Linked DNA regions of Medicago truncatula. The protein of the gene in region 1 interacts with the protein of each later gene in a pairwise test. Links are inferred from orthologs where the notes say so. Each region holds a gene or a part of one and is shown on either strand. Other genes may lie near its edges.

Region 1 (7,363 bases):
TATATTTGGCCCTAATTTGGAGCTGCATAGACTAGATCCCACCACACATTTACCCATCTTTCTATGGCATTGGCATATTTTTACTATAGCGCATGACGTTTCAATAAATAATTAAAATAAAATAAAAACACACTTTAACTCATGGTGGGAGTGTGGAGATGCGGATAACACTTTGGTGATATTGATCAATCACAATATCATAAGTGTACAAAATGATAAAAAATTATGACTTTCTTCTTACTCACTAACAAGCATTTTTTGTCATTTTGCACACTTGTGACATTGTGGTTGGCCATGACATTGGCACCTCAATATCACCAAAGTGATGTCCGTGGAGATACTAATTTTCGAACACACTCTTTAAAATATTTGAGTATTTTTTTCATAAAATTGTCTCCTTTACAATAATTGGTTTTGCTATAAAAAAAAAAAAGCTTAGTGGTGTATTGCTCGATTGTCTAATATTTATGTGTAACTTGAAGTTAACTTGTAAGTGTGATTTTGAGTTTTGAATTTATCATACAAACTTACTTAATGTTTTTTTTAAAGGAGAAATTCATTGCTTCTTATTATCAATCAAAAAAGAAATACATGACGGTACATTATCATAATCATGGAAGCTAGCATGAGATGGGGCTACCTTAGTTAATGCATGAGTGATCCCATTGGTTTGCCTCCTATTGAACTCGACATAAGAGTTCTGAAAACTAATCTGAAACAATTGTTTACAAGCATGCATAATACATCCAAACTCATTGTCATTCTCTAAAGAAGACCGAAAATGATCAACCACTATGTTAGAATCTAAAGCAAAGTCGACATTATCATAGTGAAGTTCCGCCATCCATTTCAACGCCGTATGAAAGCCTACGGCCTCACCCACAACAACATTACAAAGAGGGGAAAAACAATATGTTTTAGCACTAACAAATTCGCTCCTGTCATCACGAAGACAAATCCTGATACTCACATATTCATGGAAGAAGAAAAGGAGGAATCAATGTTACATTTATACCTACCATAAGCCGGCTTCGACCATTCCACCACCATACTATCGCTAGAATTGCCTTGGTGCGTCAAAGGTACATCTTCTCTTTGCAACCATATTTGTTGGGCTGATCGCCAATCATCCAGGGTATGCTTTGCACGCTCCAATACATGCATGATCGTTTCATTTTGCTGCTGCCACAATTTCAAATTCCTACGCTTCCACATACTCCACATAATCGTCACAAATAACTCTCTTTGGACCAAAGGCAGCTGATCAAGAAGAGTAAAAATAAGTGCATCCATATTATAATTTTTTCGGAGAGTTCTGTCAATTGTGTTCCATAATTGAACCACACGCCAAGCTTGCCTTGCAGTGAACATTCCAACAACACATCAATATTATCCTCATAGTTAACTTACTTTAATGTTAATAACTAGCTAGCATAAATCATTGTATATTCAACTAAATTTTAATCAAAATAATGTGTGTTTGAATTAGTCTTTAATTTAGTATAATTAATCGCAATATGTCACCATGACTTTGATAAAATTTAAATTTTGGATGCTAAAAGAAAAGCATCATAATGAGCAAATGAAAAATGTGCAAGAAATCCAAAACTAGTTTAATATATTAATGTATATGATGCTAAAAATATTATATTATATTATAATTACAAGTGGAGAAGTCCTGTGCATAGTCTCTGATGATTCCAGTCAAAGAAAAAAACAAAAGGCACTCAGGTGATCTTTTTAAGCCTGCAATGTAACAGCACAGAATCAGCCAGCAAATAACAAAAAAAAGAAAGAGAAAAGCTGAAAGGAAAATGTTATTGAGGAAATTTTTGGGTTAATCAATATGAAAGGTTCAGTTAGGTGTGTGAAAAATAAAAATAAAGCATGTGTTTTGGGACAGAGAAACAGTGTCTGTGAATAGTTTTAACCCTCAGAGTGCACTTTCCTGACACCTTCTGTAGAAGAAAAAAAAAAAAAAAAGACAAGTGCTTTCAATTGCAAAACAACAAGAAGCACGAACCAGCTAGATAGTCTTTTACTTCCACTGTACCAACCAGCATCAGTGAACTTCAAAAGTTACATCATCATGATGATGATAAATAATGCTTATAACTCTGAAACACTGTGTGTGTGAGGGAGCAAAAATAAATAAATATAAAGACCTTTCACTTTGCTGCTATATTGATATTTGTTTGACATTCAAATTTGTCATGTATCTTGTATTTTTATATGATATGATTAGTTACCACAAATTAGGAGTTTATGAAGCTTGAACGACTGAATTAAACAGCATGTATTCCTAATAAGAAGATATAATATAGCATGTAAAAAGAGAAGAGGTATTTATATTAGTAGTTTTCAAATCATAATTTTTAAAAGTAATAAAAGTTGTAATCTTCAAGTTGATTGGTTATGAGGAAATTGTTGGTAATATAAGAGATTTGACTTATATACTCAATCTTTAAATTTTGGATAGAGATGTGGTGTTCAGTCTCTTACGGATCCTTGATCATTGACTCGTTGTTTTTCTCAGCTCTCCTCTAGAATCCCCAAAAACTGGTATGGTAGCCTTGATTCAACTTGATGGGGAGAGTGGAGGTGGAATCCTAGTGTTGGATCCTTGTATTGAAAGTCCTCATAGAAAACGTGTTATGTTGGAATTATGTAGTGCAAATATAGAATGTGGGAGACTTGCATTTAAGAGAAGATTGTTGGATTCGAGTGTGAGTGGTTTCCCACATCCAATGTAGTTGAGTTAAATATTAGATATATAATAGGTGTGACTCATATACCAAACGTCTTAAGATTTCTAATAGAGATTAGTTGTTTCTCTACCGTGGTCATGGATCATTGGTTCTATTGCTCTTGACGCTCCATCAAACACCTCAACAAATGGTATTAGAGTCTTAGTTCGACTTAATTGTGGAGTTGGAGTGGATCATGATGTTGGATTCTTGTATTTGAACTCTTTCTCGCATTGTAGTAAGGGCGTGTTCTATTGGTTAATAGATGTGCAAGTATAGGATGTAGAAAACTCACACTTGAGAAGGAGATGGTTGGACTCAAGTGTCTCACATTTATTATATAAATGAGTTACATATTAAATTTATACGAGAGGTAAACCATAATATATACTTTATGCGTTGAGTTTTTAGTAGAGATTTGGTGTCTTGGCATTCCTTGATCATTTGCTCGTTGTTGTTATTGGTGGGGAATGGATCCTCTCCGGTGACTGGAGGGTCCAATGAAATCTTCTCCATTAAAAAATAAATGCATTTGAGAAATTAAATGTTAAAATCAAGAGAGAAAAAATATTTAATGACTTAAATGCATTTGAGAAATTAAATGTTTAATGACTTAAATTAAATGTGAAATTCCTTATTGGAATTATTGTATGTGTTGATATTATAAAATTACAAGTAATTTAGAAAGAAGTTGTATCAAACTTGATATTTCTATTCAATCTGAAATTTAGAAACTACAAAATATAATCCAGACATGTACTTATAACATCTTGTTTAATTCATCTTATACCGTATTAGAAAAGCCTCAAACAATGATTTGGCCAAAGCCTATTTTTGGTAACCAAGCTATAACTTTAATATTTAAAAAAGGAGAAGTGAAACACACACTTACTGTTATTCCTATATGGCCCAAAAAGATGATGTATTCATCTTGTGGTTGAAGAAATCATATTAACAGCCAAACATGTAAAGGATTATCATGACATGACTGTACCCAATGAAACATAAGAGTCCAAAATTGACTGTAACCTAATTTCTATCCTTGAAAGTAAGATGCCTAATGGTGAGAAAATGTAACAAAAGATAACACATCATTCCGTACCTAAAAAAAAAAAAAAAAAGGATTCAGCTTTAGCCAATGACCTCCCATATCTATGAATAAGATCATGCCAGGCATGCTTAAACCAAAAAAGATTATAAATGACACGTACTAGACTTTCTTATATTCAAAAGCTATACCATATCCTAAGATTGTTAAAAGAGATTTATACCACCGACTACAATTGCGATTGGTATGGTTAGACTTTTTGCTCACATTCGTCGTGTGACTCAAGCTTGAGTCTAAACTTCTATAATTTCTTATAGATTAAGGACTTTTTGACCTCTAATAAACACTCCAAAATATCTTACTTTAGGTTTAGATCTTTTGATCGTGCTATATAACCAATTCATAAGTTGATAATAGGATGTCCTTATTGTTTATGCGAGGTTGGAATGTCTCTCAAATATTAAACTTCAGGAATCAAATTTATATTCTTAATCTAAAAATTATAAAGAAAAAAGGAAGAGAAAAAAAAAATTGATGCTATATCATGATATATGATAAAATAGGCAGTATAGGTAGCTAAGCAGCTTACACTTGACATAATCTGATGGCACTGTTTTCAAAGAATGATGTGGAGACAGCAAAACCAAAGGTGCATGGACTAACATGCATTTGCATTTAATTTTTTCTTTGTACATTAGTTTATGAATTTGTGTAAAAGATGTCAGAGACAAGGGCAGCAGCAGCAACAACAAAGGCAGGTGCAGAGAAAAAAACAGAAGCATCACAGGTTCAGTCATTATAAGTTCAGACTCACTATCTCACCCATCCACCACATAGCAAAAATTAGTGAAGAGGTGGCAGAACACAATTTTCATATTCATTAACTATTATCCATCCATGCACAGTACAATAATCTCCAACCCCTCTTAACCCTCTTAAATAAAAGCATCTTCAAGAAAATCCTTATTTTTGTTTCTCAAAAAATGATGAGTGCAAGTTCAAGAAATAGGTCACTTTTCACACCAAATCAATGGCAAGAACTTGAACAACAAGCCCTAGTTTTTAAATACATGGTTACTGGAACACCTATTCCACCAGATCTCATATACTCTATTAAGAGAAGTTTAGACACTTCAATATCTTCAAGAATCTTTCCTCATCCACCAAGTAAGTATTGTTATAACTCTTTTTATTATATTTTATGATAAAAGAAATACTATATACTTTATGTTGTTGTTGTTATTATATATATGTGTATACTTTATATTTGTTTGTTGTCATAACTGTGAATGGTGCAGTTGGGTGGGGATGTTTTGAAATGGGATTTGGCAGAAAAGTAGACCCAGAGCCAGGGAGGTGCAGAAGAACAGATGGCAAGAAATGGAGATGCTCAAAGGAAGCATATCCAGACTCAAAGTACTGTGAAAGACACATGCACAGAGGTAGAAACCGTTCAAGAAAGCCTGTGGAACTAGTAGTTTCTTCTTCAACAACAACACCAACAAATAACACAAACACAGCATCTTCTTACAGCAACAGAAACATCTCCTTGAACAACAACAGCAGCAGCATAAACTCACCTTCTTCTTTCCCTTTCTCTACTTCATCCATGGCTTGTCATGATCAGTCACAATCTTTTTCACAATCCTACCAAAACTCTTCTTTAAACCCTTACTATTACTCTCAATCAATTACCTCTACTAAACCACTTGATCATTCTCATTTTCAAACTCAAGATGCTACTACTCATCACCTCTTTTTGGACTCAACATCTTATTCTCAGGATGACAAGGACTTTAGGTATGTATAAAACCAATAAATTCTAAATTGTTTTTTCAGTTACGCTGCCAACTTTTATATTTATATCTAATGCGGTTGAAATTGCAGTTGTCATACCGTTATAGAGACCTCTAAATATATTTATATTACGATTGCAGACTACAATTTAAAATCATAATAAACATATATATATATATATATATATATATATATATATATATATATATATAAAATTGCTAGGTTTTGATATTTTGTTGTGTATGTGTTATTGTACTTGATTGTTGATAAAGGAGGCAAGTTCAAGGAATAAGAGATGGTACTGTGGATGAGAGAACTTTCTTTCCAGAAGCTACAGGTTCATCTAGGAGCTGTTATCATGATTCATATCAACAACAACTATCAATGAATCCCTTTAAGTCTTACTCAAGCTCACAGTTTCAGAATATCAATGATGATAATTCAAGACAACAACAAGAACAACACTGTTTTGTTTTAGGCACTGACATCAAGTCAACAAGAACAACAAACAAGGACAAAGAAAGTGAGACAACTCAGAAACCACTTCATCATTTCTTTGGTGAGTGGACACCAAAGAACACAGATTCCTGGCTAGATCTTGCTTCTAACTCCAGAATTCCAACAGGTTGATTATCATTTATCATCATTCCTATGTTTTTGTTTTTTTTTTGTTATTATTAATATAAATATTATTATCCATAAAGTTATTTAATATTATCACACTTTACTAGCGTCTAGATAGGCACTTCTGTCTATGTCTGTCCGCTTTTTCTACTACGCTAACAAATTTATATACTTTATTATCCTTGGCAGATGAGTGAAGTTATTATTTGATTAAGAATTGCTGGTGGATACTGCCAAGAGAGAGTTAAAGATCAAAATGTTATGTGTGGCTGGGGTGAATTTTCTTTAGCAAAAGGTGTGATCTTTATTGTGTTATGTAGGGGACCACATTAGGATTTTTTTGTGTGTCTTGATGATATATTTTATTATTATTATAATATGCTTTGTTTCTTCAACATGAAGAAAAGTTAAAAAAAACATGTCTCAGATTTTCACACTTAAGATGTTTGACTGGAAAGCATATTAAGTTGCTTATGCAGTCTACTTTTTTAAATGGGTGGTAGTAGCAATAGCAATCAATCAAGGACAAATTTAAATTAACTTTCTGATGCTTGTGCTTGTATGTTGTGATGTATGGACCCAACAGCCAGAAAACATGTGCAATGAATATTTTGCAATATATTTACTACTGTTTTAAGATTAGGTGGGGAGAGACTGAGAGAGACACTTCCCCCACATCAAAATTCTCTATAACATATATCCAATTGATTGTAACTAGAGTGGTTGTAAGGTTTCAAACTTTGCATCAACACCTTATATTGTTTCATTCATTCACCACCCTTAGGATATAGAAATCAATGTGGTGTAACTAGGTACATGTTTAGCTTTATAATTTGCATCCTTCACTTTGGTTCCACTTCTAGAGGAACTAGAATTGATTCTGAATTGTTTAGTTATTGTCGACTAGAATTGATTCTACTTGAAACTAAGATATGTAGTTTTTGATTCTAGAATTGATTTTCACGCACAATTTTATAATTTGATTCATTTTTACATAAATTTGACTCATTTTTACATGAATGTATTCAAACACAAATCACTTTTGGTCAAGTTATTTTTAACCAAAATCAATTCTTTCCACACACAACCAAACTTCTATAACATCTTACTTTATAAACTTTATTAATTATTTGGTTACTAGCATATC
Region 2 (6,280 bases), on another chromosome or scaffold:
TTCCGTTCTGGCGTGTTTGGAATTTATATGAGCTCCGTTCCTGATACTAGTTCTTCCATGAATTAAAAAAGATTGCAGCGGCAAGACATGATGAGATTGAAACAAGAACTTTTAAATGTAGTTTTTTTCATTCACAACATGTATTTGTTACTCCCTATCCTACTCTTATTTTCTAGTTATTCTCGGCTATTTCCTGCTTGAATTGAAGCATGTTTTGTTCTTGAACTATATATCATATTTAAGGCTCAAACATAAAGAACAAAGGTCAAGTAAAATTTATAAAATAGCAGTATAGTGAATATTCCATACTTTAAAGTTATTCTAATTAGTAAAAGCTAACAGGTAAGTCTTCTAAGAAGCAAATCAAATATCTAAATAAAAATATTAATGTTTTGGGTTGTAGCTTTAGTTCTAAATACTGAAAAGCCAACAGGGCATAAGATACTGAATTTGTTTGTCAGTGACTTGTAGAACTTAAGTGAATCAGTTTCTTCATACTTTGATTTAAACCGCTTGAAATTAGATAACTGTTAGATTACTGGAGGTTGGAATCTTGATTTTGCTATCATGGTAAATATCATTTGTGATTTTTTTTTTGTGCACATGCAGTGACCTGTCCTACAACGTTTTCAATGGATCGATTCCTGATAGCCTTGGACAATTGACATCATTAAAGAGATTGTAAGACTCTATCTTTTAACTTGCCCATATGACGGATAAGAAAACTGTAAGTTCATATTAAAATAATTACCATGCAGGAACCTTAATGGCAACTTTCTGTCCGGAATGGTACCGGCAACTCTAGGAGGAAGGCTTCTGCACAGAGCTAGCTTCAAGTATGTTGTGATAAAAGTCTAGAATAAACTTAAGTTCTATTTATATGCAAAGAGAAAAGAACCATATCTACATGCTATTTCTCCCCTTTCTTTATGATTAAGGTTGCTAAATAAAAACATGTGGATTGCTGCAGTTTTACGGACAATTCGGGTCTGTGTGGTATACCTGGATTACCTACATGCGGACCTCATCTTTCTGCCGGTGCTAAAGTTGGCATTGGCTTAGGTGCTTTTTTTACTTTTCTACTTCTGATTACCTGTTCAGTTTGCTGGTGTAAAAGGCGGAAGAATATCATCCGGGCTCAGCAAATTGCAGGTAAGGATGTTAATATCTTAATATGCTGTTACTGCATTGAGCTTTTTCTAGATGTATATGATCTTGTAGTTGTACATGGATAGTGTCTTAATTTGAAATCACAATAATATATCTCTTTTTTCTTTTATAGCGAGGGCAGCACCATATGCACAAAAGAGGACCCATTTTTCACGCGATATACAGATGACGAGGCATAGTAATAATTATGGCAATTCTCATACTGCTGCGGAGAATGGACCTATCTTGCTTGGAGGATAGCATTCCATTTATTCTGGTATTTTTGGAAAACTATCCTAGCATTCTTCACTTTCCCATCCTCAATTGATTTGATTTTTTTTTCATTCAATAATCGTATTTTGATGTATGTATGGCAGGGGTATTCTGATGGCTGTACTGCACTACCTTACAGGCTGAGAATCCTACTAATTTGTAAATCACAATTTTGTACATTACATGTTTACTTTTTTTTATTACTCATTTTACGTTTGAACTTCAATATTTTTTTAGTTTGTTGATAGAATATTTGTAACAGTTCAAAAATTAAAATGTAAACAGAAATCATAATATTCTGTGGAGGATAAATGAGGGCTACTTTACATAACAGCTGCCCTGGTACATTCATTTATATTTGTTTAATTTAAATGTGTGGATCACTGTTAGAGCAGCTGAAATTTGGTATGTACCCATTAAGGGTGTTTACCTATCATTACTCTTTTGTTTTTAAAGAACTTATTAGTATACTTTTTTTATAAGACAAGACCAAAATGACATCAAAAAAATAGTGTCCAACTAAGTTGGAACACTACTCTTTTTTTTTGTGGTAGCCGAGGTCCCAACCCCGGACCTTACATATTTTATGCATTGCTCATATATATTATTAAAAAAAGAAAAATTACATAAAACCTGATTCAGTTAACAACTCTAACAAAATAAAATAAAATATGATAAAATAAAAATTTCAGAAAGTGGATTCAACCTTAATCAAATCTAACAATTAAGCGCGGGTCTAAATATAAAATACGAAAGATTAACCTTAAATAAATATCTCAACAGGCAATAAATAATTTTGGTGATAATAACATAATAAATTTATTACTTTAAACATTTTTTTTTAATATCCGCGGTTTTGCATTCTTATAAAAAAGAGATGGAGAGTGTAGGAGTCTTAATAGCCCGGACATTTTCCTTAAAAACTACTCCCTCCATTTCAAAATATAAGCAAAATTCATATTTTAGGTTCATTTATTTAATGATGTATGTGGTCCATAATTTATTTAATAATGTATGTGGTCCATATTATGAACCACATACATCATTAAATAAATAAATCTAAAAAATAAATTTTTTTTATATTTTAAAACAGGAAAATAAAAGTGACGTATAGAAACAAAAACCGAGTAATTTTTAATAAAAAAAGATGAATGAATTCACGTGACGATTATTATTACTACACACATCCGTATCTGTAGGCATACACAGTGTGGCCATCTGCTAGCTGCAGTCACTCACTCTGAACCTGATTCATCACCCACCCATCCACCCTCCCAGTCCCTGACTTTCACCACTCACTGATCTCACTTTTCAATTTTCGTCCTTTTTCTTTTCTTTACTCCACAAAAAATAATACTCCTCCGTAGCAGACTTATTAAAGCTAGTACTACAACAGAGCCCAAGCAACAACAACGTAGTCAAACACGCCAACAAGACCATAAAAAAGAAAAAAATAAGCCCATTTTCTCAAGGTGGCCCAATTTCACCTGTTCCCTGCTACTCAGACACCATTCCACGTGGGAGTCTCTCTCCCTGCACTAACCTAACCCCACATATTACCCTATCCAATCATATTTATCCACCTCATCTCACCTTTCTCTTTCATTACCACAACTCAAATTCCCATAATACCTCTTTATTTATTACAAACTCCCCCTCCAATCCAATAAACCACTATTCATCTCCAATGACACATCTCAATCCCCAAAAAAACACAAACATTAAATAGAATATTTTTTGAAATAAAATTCTAAAAAAAATAAAAAAATAACTTATGCCCTCAAGGCAATGTAAAGTTGAACATAATTTGTACCAAAAAAAAAAAAATTGAACATAATTGATATTTTAATGTTTATTTTGTGACAACTTTTAAACAATTTTATCTCTTATACTACCTTCGTCCTTTAATGTAAACTCCCTTTGCTTTTTTTATATTTCTTAAGAAAAGTTATTAGTGTAATTAATGTTTCTGTTTTCTGTGTTAATATTACTAAATTGTTCTTTGTTTGTATGTGTATTAAATTTCAAGAAAACTAACACTTAATGATTTGAGGTATAATTTTTTGTGTTCTCCTTAAAATAAGTTTCATGGAAAGATGTAAAAATAATTCTCGTTGGTTAAAAATTATGGAGAAAATAAAAAGGAGAATAAATTGAATGCAATTTGCATTTAATTTTACATTGAAAAAGATGTTTTGTTTGAAAAAACATAATAATAGCATAAAAATTGATCTTTTTTGCTTATATTTTGAGACAAAGAAAATAAGATTTTTTTGCTTATATTTTAGAACGGATGGAGTATTAATTAAAGGTATGTTTAGAAAAAAAAATAATAAATGCATCTAGTAATTTAGAAAGGGGATTACATTTAAGGACTAAAATAAAATCAAATGGATGTTTAGATATAGAGACGGAGGAGTATTTACATTATTGTTTAACTTTCTCTCTTCCTTTTTTTTCTTTATATAGTTTTTGACTAATCAAAAAAGAAAAAAAAAGTTTTGACAAATGGTTTTACACATATCATTACTAAAAGATGAAACAAAATCTTAAAAACTATGTATTTAACTCAAATTTAAATTTATTTTTGAAATACAAAATAATTCTTTTAATTGTTTTCGTAACTCTCTAACTTGTGCCTAACAACATAAGTTAACATGACAAAGCAAATCTTAGTGAGGTTTTTTGTAGTTTTTTTATTTGAAAGATGGTTTTTTGTAATTAATTAATCTAATATTTAGAATATTATTTTAAGATGAATAAATAGATTCTTTAAAATTCAAACACCGCATGTTACATCCTTCAAAAATAAAAAACACCGCATGTTACAATGAACTATTTCATCCAAATAAACTATGCTCCCGAAGACAAAAATATTATTAATAATTCACCAACGAAATTTAACATTAGCAATGAAAGTGGAATATGATTACATTATGGTTTTTTCTAGATTACCTTTGAAGAATGGTGGGTAATTTACCCACCAACCAATGAAAATGAACAATTTGTTGGTGGGGTTAAGATAGTTCATGGATACCACTTAAAAATGTGCTTATGTGGCTAATGTGTATTGGTTGGGGTAAATTACCCACCATTCTTCCATGGGTACCCTAGTTGTCACCTTATATTATTAGGTAAATTAAATAAAATTACGGATGAGTATAAAAGATAAAAAAAAATGACAGGAGTAGTTTGAAAAAAGTGTCAGGCGCCGCTGAGCAAACACCGTACAACAACAGTAGGGCATACGTCACGCTCCTACAGCCCCCACTTCCTTCCACCCCATACGTCTTTTCAGCCGGCGGCTATCCCAATAGGGTCCCACCACTTTCTTTCATCCTCACATCATAGCCGTCCATCAGTATCAACGGCTCCCCTTTATTTTATCCAAATTTGCTTCCCACCTCGTGTGGTTTTTTGTGTCTATATATACAAACATAATCACAAACCAAAAATCAAAACCAAAGGGTGGTAGTAGTAGTATTGTAGTGGTGCCGGCCAGCCGACAATTACGGGAGCCAATGTGGGTCCCTTCACTTTTATAAACTCAAATCACTTCTCACTTCACTTCGCAAACCCTTTCTTTTCTCTCTTCTTGTGTTGTTTTTCTTTGTTTTCATGGCTTCTTCTTCAACTTCTTCAGCGAATCGTGAAGGACACTACAGAGGTGTTAGGAAGCGACCATGGGGACGCTACGCCGCTGAGATTCGCGATCCGTGGAAGAAAACGCGTGTTTGGCTGGGTACATTTGACACTCCTGAAGAAGCTGCTCTTGCTTACGACGGCGCCGCTCGTTCTCTTCGTGGAGCTAAAGCAAAAACCAACTTCCCACCGGCGCCGGTCGCCGGAGGACTTTGTTTGGATCTCAACGCTCCTTCTTCTGATCTCCGATGGCCATCTGTCCCTTCACGTGGCCGTGTGCTTACTGAGTTTCTTCAAACTGGTGTTCTCAAGGATTTCAACCCTCCTCCACCTCCACCCATCGGCGGGGTGGTTGGACAGAGGCATAATGAAGTTACTCTTGCTGTCGCCGGCAGAACTATGGTGGCTGAGAACTCTCCGACGGCGGCTTACTTGGGACTTGTTCGACGTGGGATTCCGATTGACTTGAATGAACCTCCACCGTTGTGGCTTTGAAAAACCCTAGACAAATAAGTAGCGTAAAATGAGATGATTTATTGTAGTTTTTTAACGGCGTCGTTTTAGGATCTTATCTAATTAATCTTGTCTTTTTCTCCCTTATTAGCGGCATAGTTATCATGAGGGAGTATCTACCTATCTTATCTTTGTAATGTATCTATGGCAATCTAACATTTAAAAAAAAAAAAATGAAGTACTTTATGATATTTTATTTATTTATTTCCATATTAATTGATGTCTATGACTAGTATGAGTGTTATTGAGCTAGATTCTCACGTTGAAATAAATGCTATGGGTTCACATCAACTATTCTTTTTCATATGACACTTTGCTTGGCAAATTGTAGTTTTAATAATGGGTATGATGGACACATTATGTAATCTTTGTCCAAAATATTTGAACTACTAGTAATAATAGAATCTAAAATGTTTTACGGTTTGGAGCATTTGGAATGTTGGGCGGCAACCGACGAGGGAGTGACACCAGTAAATTTGATGCTGTTGGTTTTGGACCACGTTAGAAAACAACGGCGTTGTGTAAAGGGAGTTTGGTTTCACGCGCGAGTGGGTCTGGTTTATGCTGAGAGCGGGAACTGCGATGCGAGCGTGTGGGTATCAGCATGATGGCATTCCTTTTCTAGTCAGAGATCTGGTTCTTACCATTTTGGCAGCGTATATTTTCCTCCACTTTTAGACCCACTCACTTTCCCAAGCGCGTC
Region 3 (7,396 bases), on another chromosome or scaffold:
ACCGTTGAAGACCCACCGACACCTCCTCACACCACCAAAAATGTGGCCTACATCACCACCTCACACACCCATCACCTCCTCCACATAGATCTGGATTGGAAGGAAACAACCACCACACAAAAACACCAGACAATTTGTATTTTTCTAAGAGCCGCAAACTCAGCACACGCAAGGAAGAAAACAACCGCAACTATTGTACTAAAACCACCACCAACACCTCCTATTACCTCCAAAACCGAGACTTACCTCACCACTGTCACCACCTCACACCACCATCACTTCCTGCACAGGGATCTGGGACAAAACGAAACAAACACAAAAGAGCCACTACGAAAATCAACGCCAACATATACCAACATATACGAAAACCACCCAAATCTGCCATAACAAACCACCATCAACCCCACCACCATGAGTTGCTACACCACCATCATATGGATCACGCAGAAGAGGAATAAAACCACCGACGAGAACCGCTACGACGGAATGACTACAACACAAATCCGGACACCAACCCACGAATCCAAGGCCATCACCACCGAGAAAGGGTGTTGCGCAACCCATATCAACCACCAAACCACCGCCATCTTGGAATTATACCAAAGGCCGCTGGCGGTCTACGACCACCCCAACATAATATTGACACTTTATAAAAAATAATATTGGAATGATAAAAAATAATATTGACACTTTAATTGCATTTCTTAATCCATGTGTATTTGTTAGAATGACATATAAAATGGAACGGAGGAAGTAGTTTATATCAAACGTGTTTTTAAATGTTGGATTGCCATTCGTCTTGGCCCAAACATATACAAAGTAACATTTGATCTATTAGTTGTCCTATCTTAGAAACTTTTTAGCACCCTGGTATAAAAAGCTTAGAAAATTCCTATAATTGATCAATAACCTAACATTTTCTACTTTTGGCCCCCGTGATATTATATACTTTATTGTTTTATTTTTGAAAGACTTGCAAAAACATGCTATGAAAAATCAATAGCAAAAAAAATTCTATTAATACAATGTCTATCATGATGACACATCATTTCTTAACATATTATAATTCTTCTGAAGTGGTGATAGATTTGAGAGAAGAAAATTTGGTCTAAAAAACTAAACTCAATCCACTCTTTAATGAAAGCTATATGTGAATTTATGTTTGATCATTTTTATTACCACTTATAAAATTCTTTCTTTCAAAAAAGTTTATCGGAGGATAACTTATATCTTTTTATCACATTTTATTTCTTGAACAATTTATTAAGGAAAACATGCAGTAATGAAGCACAAAGTTGTGTGCATTGATTGATCTTGATCATAAATCTTAGATTGGCCGGTTCATATTACACTCATGTAAAATCATCTTTAAATAATCTTTATTGTTGATTTAAGATTAAACGACCAAATGATCAAAAGTAACAAAAAAAGACCATATGATCACATAATTAATGTGTGGCATCTGAATTACATGGATGCATCATATTTTTATTGATAGTATTTTAGCAATTATATACTCATCCGATGTAATATTTTTGCTGTTATAAACAGAGTTTGCATGCAATATTATTTCCCTTGTCTAGTATTGAAGGTGGTTAATTAATTGAAATACAAAACAAAAAATAAACGTACCCAAACTTTCTATGTAAATTTGATTATGGTAAATTTAAAAAGAAAATTCAATCTAAGTAACTTTTCAAGTAGTACAAAGATTTGTTAAAAAAATAGAGTAGTAACTATTTCACAACTGTATAATTTTAACTATGTAATTTTACATGAATCTAATCTATAATTATGTTCCAATTGTGTAACTATTTCACAAAGGCAACCATATATTGGTACACATTCTCTCAAAAAAAAAAAAAAAATTGTGTACACAATTTTTATCCCTCTTCTTTATACTATTATATTAACGGAGAAATGGGTAAGTTTTGACATTTACTATTATGAGTTGTATGAAATGTCCCTTACATATGATTATCACTAACGAGTTTGTACTATTTCTTTTATTTACATTTAATGCATTCTTCTTTGCTTCTTCTGGGAATATTTTTCTCTATATTATTTCTATTCCTAACTTATATTTTTTAAAGAGAAAATGATGCATTAGATTATGAACAATGTTCTATAACAAATACTAACAACAATTTTAACATAGAAAGGAGAAGGAAGCTATGTTACCAAAGTTGCACTTGCAAATATATGGTCATGATCAACTGTTGTTGACTATACCATTTCAACAATAAGATGCTAAGAGTTGTGTGGTTAAAATCATAGCTAAAAAGTTTACATGTAGTTACTAGTTAGACTTAGATATGAAATGAGATTTTATGGTGCCGTTTAGTTATGAGTTTGAATGGTTGAGTATCACTTCGTTGTTGGGAACCAAACACATTTTTAATTAAAATTTATCCTCTTCTCTCTTTTGAACCAAACATATATTTAATTAAAATATCTCCCCTCCATTTTCTTTCACTCCATTAAAATCCATTCCCTCCTCTTCATTGAACCAAATATACCCTTATAGCATTTTTTTAACAAATAGAACAAATAAATTTTGTATTATTAAATTGGTTGTCGTGATTGCTATTATTGATGGTTATAGAAAATTTAACAATACGCATGTATTTATACTAGTTCTAAGCCTCGTTTCGGAAAGAGTTGTGTTATTTAAAAAACTATTTATATGACAACTTTTGAGACAACCATAAATTTATAAAAAAAAAAGTATCGACATAAAAGCCAAAACAATAGAGAGGAAAAATAAAAACATAACATGAGTATGAAAGAGAAAGTTGTCACAAAAGTTGTCAAAATATAATTGTACAAATATTATTTATCTTTTGAAAAGCACGAAGTTATTATGCACAAATCTAACCTCCATGTGTAACTACATCCGACAACCACTAATCTCCAACACAAAGCCCCTGTTTGGTTCTGCGGTAAGATGCCTCAAACGTGCGTTTTTCACTACAAACGGGATTTCATGACACTTGAAGGATGTTTGGCAAGCAGTTGGAAACATGATTCTTCCTTTCAAAATCGATTCCAGTTGAAGCTACCATGTGTAGCTTTTGCGTCTGACTATATAATCAATTTTATGGAAATCACAAGATATTTTACAGCTCTATCCTTTTCATCCCGCGCTTATTTCTTTCTGTTATGTGCTACAGTGTCATTGTCTAGAGGTTAGTAGTGATAAAACTAAGAGAAATGATATTTGAACATTTTTTTTTATAACTTTTGTGACAACTTTTTCTCTCATACTCACATTATGTGTTACTTTATCTCTCTATTGCTTTGATTTTCGTGCAAATACCTACTTTTTCTTTGTAAATTATTGTTGTCACATAAGTTGTCAACCAAATAGTTATTCAAATAACACTTCTCTAAAACTAAATGGCTCTGAAGTCCCATCATTATGTTGAGTCGGTTGCCTTTAATTTTTTTTTCCTTTCTTTATATTATTACCTTTTACTTAATCAACATATTTATGTTTTACTTACTACCCAATCAACGTATTTGACAGTATTTTATTAATCAATTAACATAAAAAAATAATTAAAGAAGATGTAACAAGAAAAATGTATCAATCCACTATATTAACCAAAATAAAAGAAAAACTAATTAAATGATTGAGAAAAAATTTACCAAAATAAATGAAGGAGAGAAAAAAAAAATTAACAAAATAAATGAATGAGAAAATTGATCTATATGTTAAAACCTATTTTGGTCATTTCCACGCTCAAAAGCAATTTTGACACAAAATATCCAAACATCATCTTACATACAAATCAATTTTGCATTGAAGGTATTCAAACACAAACCACTTTATGTTAAACTCACTTTTAACCAAAATCAATTCTGCAAAATTAATTCAATCAAAATCAAATTTTGCCACCGCGTAATCAAACACACGCTAATTCAAAATCAATTTATATGTAATCTCAAAACCAAACATACGCTAGCTTTATTAAAAAATTCAACAAAATTTATATACAACCTATAATTATAGTATTACCGATTAAAACTCGATCAAGTATGATTATAATTTTTTTTAGATAAACAAAATAACAATAGTTATTAAAAACTCACTCATAAAAATAAAAAAATTAAAGTTCAAACTTCGATCACCACAATTAACTTAACATTTTCGTTGTTATTATCTATTGAGAGATGACATATTCATATGAACTCAACTTTCAATCAAGTACTAGTATAGTAGTATTAAATTAAACAAAAAGACATATTTTTTTGACCGACAGATTAAATTAAGCACGTCTAATGATTGTATTAACAGCAAATTGTTGATAATCAACAAAGCTGGTCAATGAAAATAGCAAAAGTCCAAAAAAGAAAATTAAGAAAAAATAATAACAATAAAGAAAAAGAAAAGGTAGACAGAAAAGAAAGGGGAGAGAGAGAAGAAAAAGAAGAGCTGGAATCACATGGACTTGTCTTTCCCTTGCTGGGTCCTCCATTCTCTTCTTCTTACTTTCTCTTCCATTCTCTTCTTCTCTCTTTCTTAGATTCATTCTTCTCTTCTTTCTTCTCTTCCTCCTCCTTCAACCATGTCTGAGGATAAGGTACTTTTTTGTAGCATAAAAATCCCCTTTTTTTTTTTAGCTTTTTTGATTGGTTTGTGAAAAAACTGTGATCCATGAATGCTAAAATTGAAAAAAGTTGTGATTTTTATTGTTTTTGTTGGATTATGAAGCTGTAAATTCATCTGGGTTGTGTGATTTTTGTTTAATTTTTTTTTGTTAGTTGATTAAGGGATTGTTAGGGTTTGTTATTTTGGGGGAAATTTGATTTGTTGCTAAATTTTTTTTGGTCTTTGAGGTTAATAGAGAAAACCCATTTTGCTTATTTTGAAGTTGATCTATGGGTTTCTATGAAGTTTTAATTTTTTTTCTTTATTGAACTGGATTTTTTTTTAATTTTTTTAATTTTTAAGATTTGTTTGTTGCCGACAGTTATGTTATAATCAGATCATGTTCTTATGTTGATGTTGGACTCTCAAGGTTTTGTTTTGTTTGTTTGTCATGAATCTGTGATTGGTTGCTAGTTTTGCTATATGTGTAGTTTATCAGTTTGATTTGCGATTCTGATGAACATGTTTTGGTTCAATTTGTTGTTATCTGTTTCTATCTGTTGTATTGTTTTGAAATTTTAAGATATTTTAGCAAAATATTTTGTTGTGTTGCTTTTTTGTTTCTTACTTCAATTTTTTCAATAAAAGTTTGTCAAAAATTAAGTTTGTTTTCTGGATTGAGTGCTGCTATAGTTCTTGGTCGCTTGGTCTTTAGTTTTTAGCATCTTATTTCCTTCATGGTCGTCTTTTTGCGGTATCATCATATGTTGCGTACCAGATTTGTTTCTTCATGTTATATCTTTTAGAAACTTACCTTTTGTGTTTTTGAGTATGCTGTTGATATGTGATGGTTTAATTAATTGTGTATCTTGTTCTTCATGGTAGTCTTTACTTGCTATTTTTGATGTGTTCATCAATTAGTTAATCATATTGTTTCTATTTTTAACTTCACTTTGAAATCAAACCATCTATAAGTATTTTGTGAGCAATTCCAAATTCTTATGTTCCATCAATTTCAACAGGAGATGTCTACTTCTGTTATCAATGGGAACGATTCCCTCACTGGTCACATTATATCTACAACAATTGGAGGCAAAAATGGAGAGCCAAAACAGGTATCATATTCTGTAAATCCTGTTTTGCTGATAATATTTCAATTTTGAGATTGAGTGATTTGCCGAGTTGTTAACAGTTCCATTTGATAATTTTTCCTGGATTCCAAGTTTGACATCTTGTTCAATGGTTCTTGTAGACTATTAGTTACATGGCAGAGCGTGTCGTAGGAACGGGATCATTTGGAATTGTTTTCCAGGTATGCTAAAGCTAGATTCCTAATTGTTGTTGTCTCCACCATTTTTTTTTGCCGCATGCTGATTTTTCTCTTCTTAGGCAAAATGCTTGGAAACTGGAGAGGCAGTAGCCATTAAGAAGGTTTTGCAAGACCGAAGATATAAGAACCGTGAACTACAATTGATGCGTGTGATGGACCATCCAAATGTGGTCACTTTGAAGCATTGTTTCTTTTCAACTACAAGTACGGATGAACTTTTTCTGAATTTGGTGATGGAATATGTTCCAGAATCCATGTATCGGGTCTTAAAGCACTACAACAATGCTAATCAGAGAATACCGATCATCTATGTAAAACTTTATATGTACCAGGTATGCCTTTAACTTTCTGGCGAATAAAAAACTTCTCTAATTCATTCAGTCATTGGCTGATATAAACTTGTGGTGGGCATGCAGATCTTCAGGGGGTTGGCTTATATCCACACTGTTCCCGGAGTTTGCCACAGGGATTTGAAACCTCAAAATATATTGGTATGTTAATATGCTGTTGCTGGATATACATTTAAAGTTAGAACTCTTTCGTAAACGTAGTAGTTACTTCTGGCCCTGATTTCATTATGTTTGTTCTCCAGGTTGATCCTCTCTCACATCAAGTTAAGCTATGTGATTTTGGAAGTGCAAAAATGCTGGTATGTTGACCTGCTCATCATATTTTAATATGCCTAGTTTTCTTTCTTTGGTGTGCACCTGTATTTTTTTTCCTTTTAATTGAGTATTCAGTAACATTATTATTATTATTAATTGTTTTTTTTCTTTTCATTTTGAGTATTCAGTAACTTAGAATGTCAACCGATAATCAATCAATTTTCATAAAGTTTTGACACTTGTAGATGAGATGTTTGTAATTATTACACTGTGTTGATGTCAGTTTCTTTGCATGATGTCTTTCGCTGCTCAACAGCAAGCTTTGGAGTCTCCCTACACTCTTATTTATTTATTTTATTTCAAAGAATTCATAGTACTTTCATATGGTACTGATTTTAGATTTTTTTTTCTTTGTTCAGGTCAAGGGCGAAGCTAATATATCATACATATGTTCTCGTTTCTATCGAGCTCCAGAACTTATATTTGGTGCCACAGAGTATACTACTTCAATTGATATTTGGTCAGCTGGCTGTGTCCTTGCTGAACTGCTTTTGGGCCAGGTTTGTGCCATTATTTTGTTTTCATACTCACAGTCATCACCATCATCATCTAGTGCAAAATGATGTATTTCTACTAGTATCTTCCACCTATGACCTACCTGTCATCTGATACAATGCTATCTTTTGTAGCCGTTATTCCCTGGTGAAAATGCAGTGGACCAGCTCGTACATATTATAAAGGTGCTTGGAACACCCACCCGGGAGGAAGTACGCTGCATGAATCCCAATTACAATGACTTCAGGTTTCCGCAAATAAAAGCACACCCATGGCACAAGGTCTGCTTCTCTCTTCTTCGACTGCTGATTT

Evidence for each region. The genes of interacting proteins can lie anywhere in the genome.
Region 2: the proteins of growth-regulating factor 5 (region 1) and ethylene-responsive transcription factor 12 interact in binary tests that used the Arabidopsis thaliana proteins (3 or more experiments, as listed by UniProt). The link is inferred for Medicago truncatula from reciprocal best matches to the Arabidopsis thaliana genes GRF5 and ERF12.
Region 3: the proteins of growth-regulating factor 5 (region 1) and shaggy-related protein kinase eta interact in binary tests that used the Arabidopsis thaliana proteins (3 or more experiments, as listed by UniProt). The link is inferred for Medicago truncatula from reciprocal best matches to the Arabidopsis thaliana genes GRF5 and BIN2.

The regions. Positions count from the first base shown.
Region 1 is NC_053049.1:7,193,718-7,201,080, reverse strand, and holds growth-regulating factor 5, read left to right. Parts: upstream 1-4,426; 5' UTR 4,427-4,778; coding exon 4,779-4,962; intron 4,963-5,093; coding exon 5,094-5,595; intron 5,596-5,864; coding exon 5,865-6,217; intron 6,218-6,405; coding exon 6,406-6,413; 3' UTR 6,414-6,837; downstream 6,838-7,363. UniProt on the Arabidopsis thaliana protein: Transcription activator that plays a role in the regulation of cell expansion in leaf and cotyledons tissues.
Region 2 is NC_053043.1:4,049,062-4,055,341, forward strand, and holds ethylene-responsive transcription factor 12, read left to right. Parts: upstream 1-4,867; 5' UTR 4,868-5,040; coding exon 5,041-5,559; 3' UTR 5,560-5,777; downstream 5,778-6,280. Other genes in the region: receptor-like protein 4, read left to right, coding at 610-681, 759-836, 971-1,152, 1,283-1,410.
Region 3 is NC_053043.1:5,064,032-5,071,427, forward strand, and holds the start of shaggy-related protein kinase eta, read left to right. Parts: upstream 1-4,393; 5' UTR 4,394-4,571; coding exon 4,572-4,586; intron 4,587-5,616; coding exon 5,617-5,709; intron 5,710-5,846; coding exon 5,847-5,906; intron 5,907-5,983; coding exon 5,984-6,256; intron 6,257-6,340; coding exon 6,341-6,415; intron 6,416-6,516; coding exon 6,517-6,573; intron 6,574-6,948; coding exon 6,949-7,089; intron 7,090-7,218; coding exon 7,219-7,365; intron 7,366-7,396. UniProt on the Arabidopsis thaliana protein: Negative regulator in brassinosteroid signal transduction pathway important for plant growth. May be also involved in auxin signaling pathway. Phosphorylates and increases the degradation of BZR1 and BZR2/BES1 by the proteasome.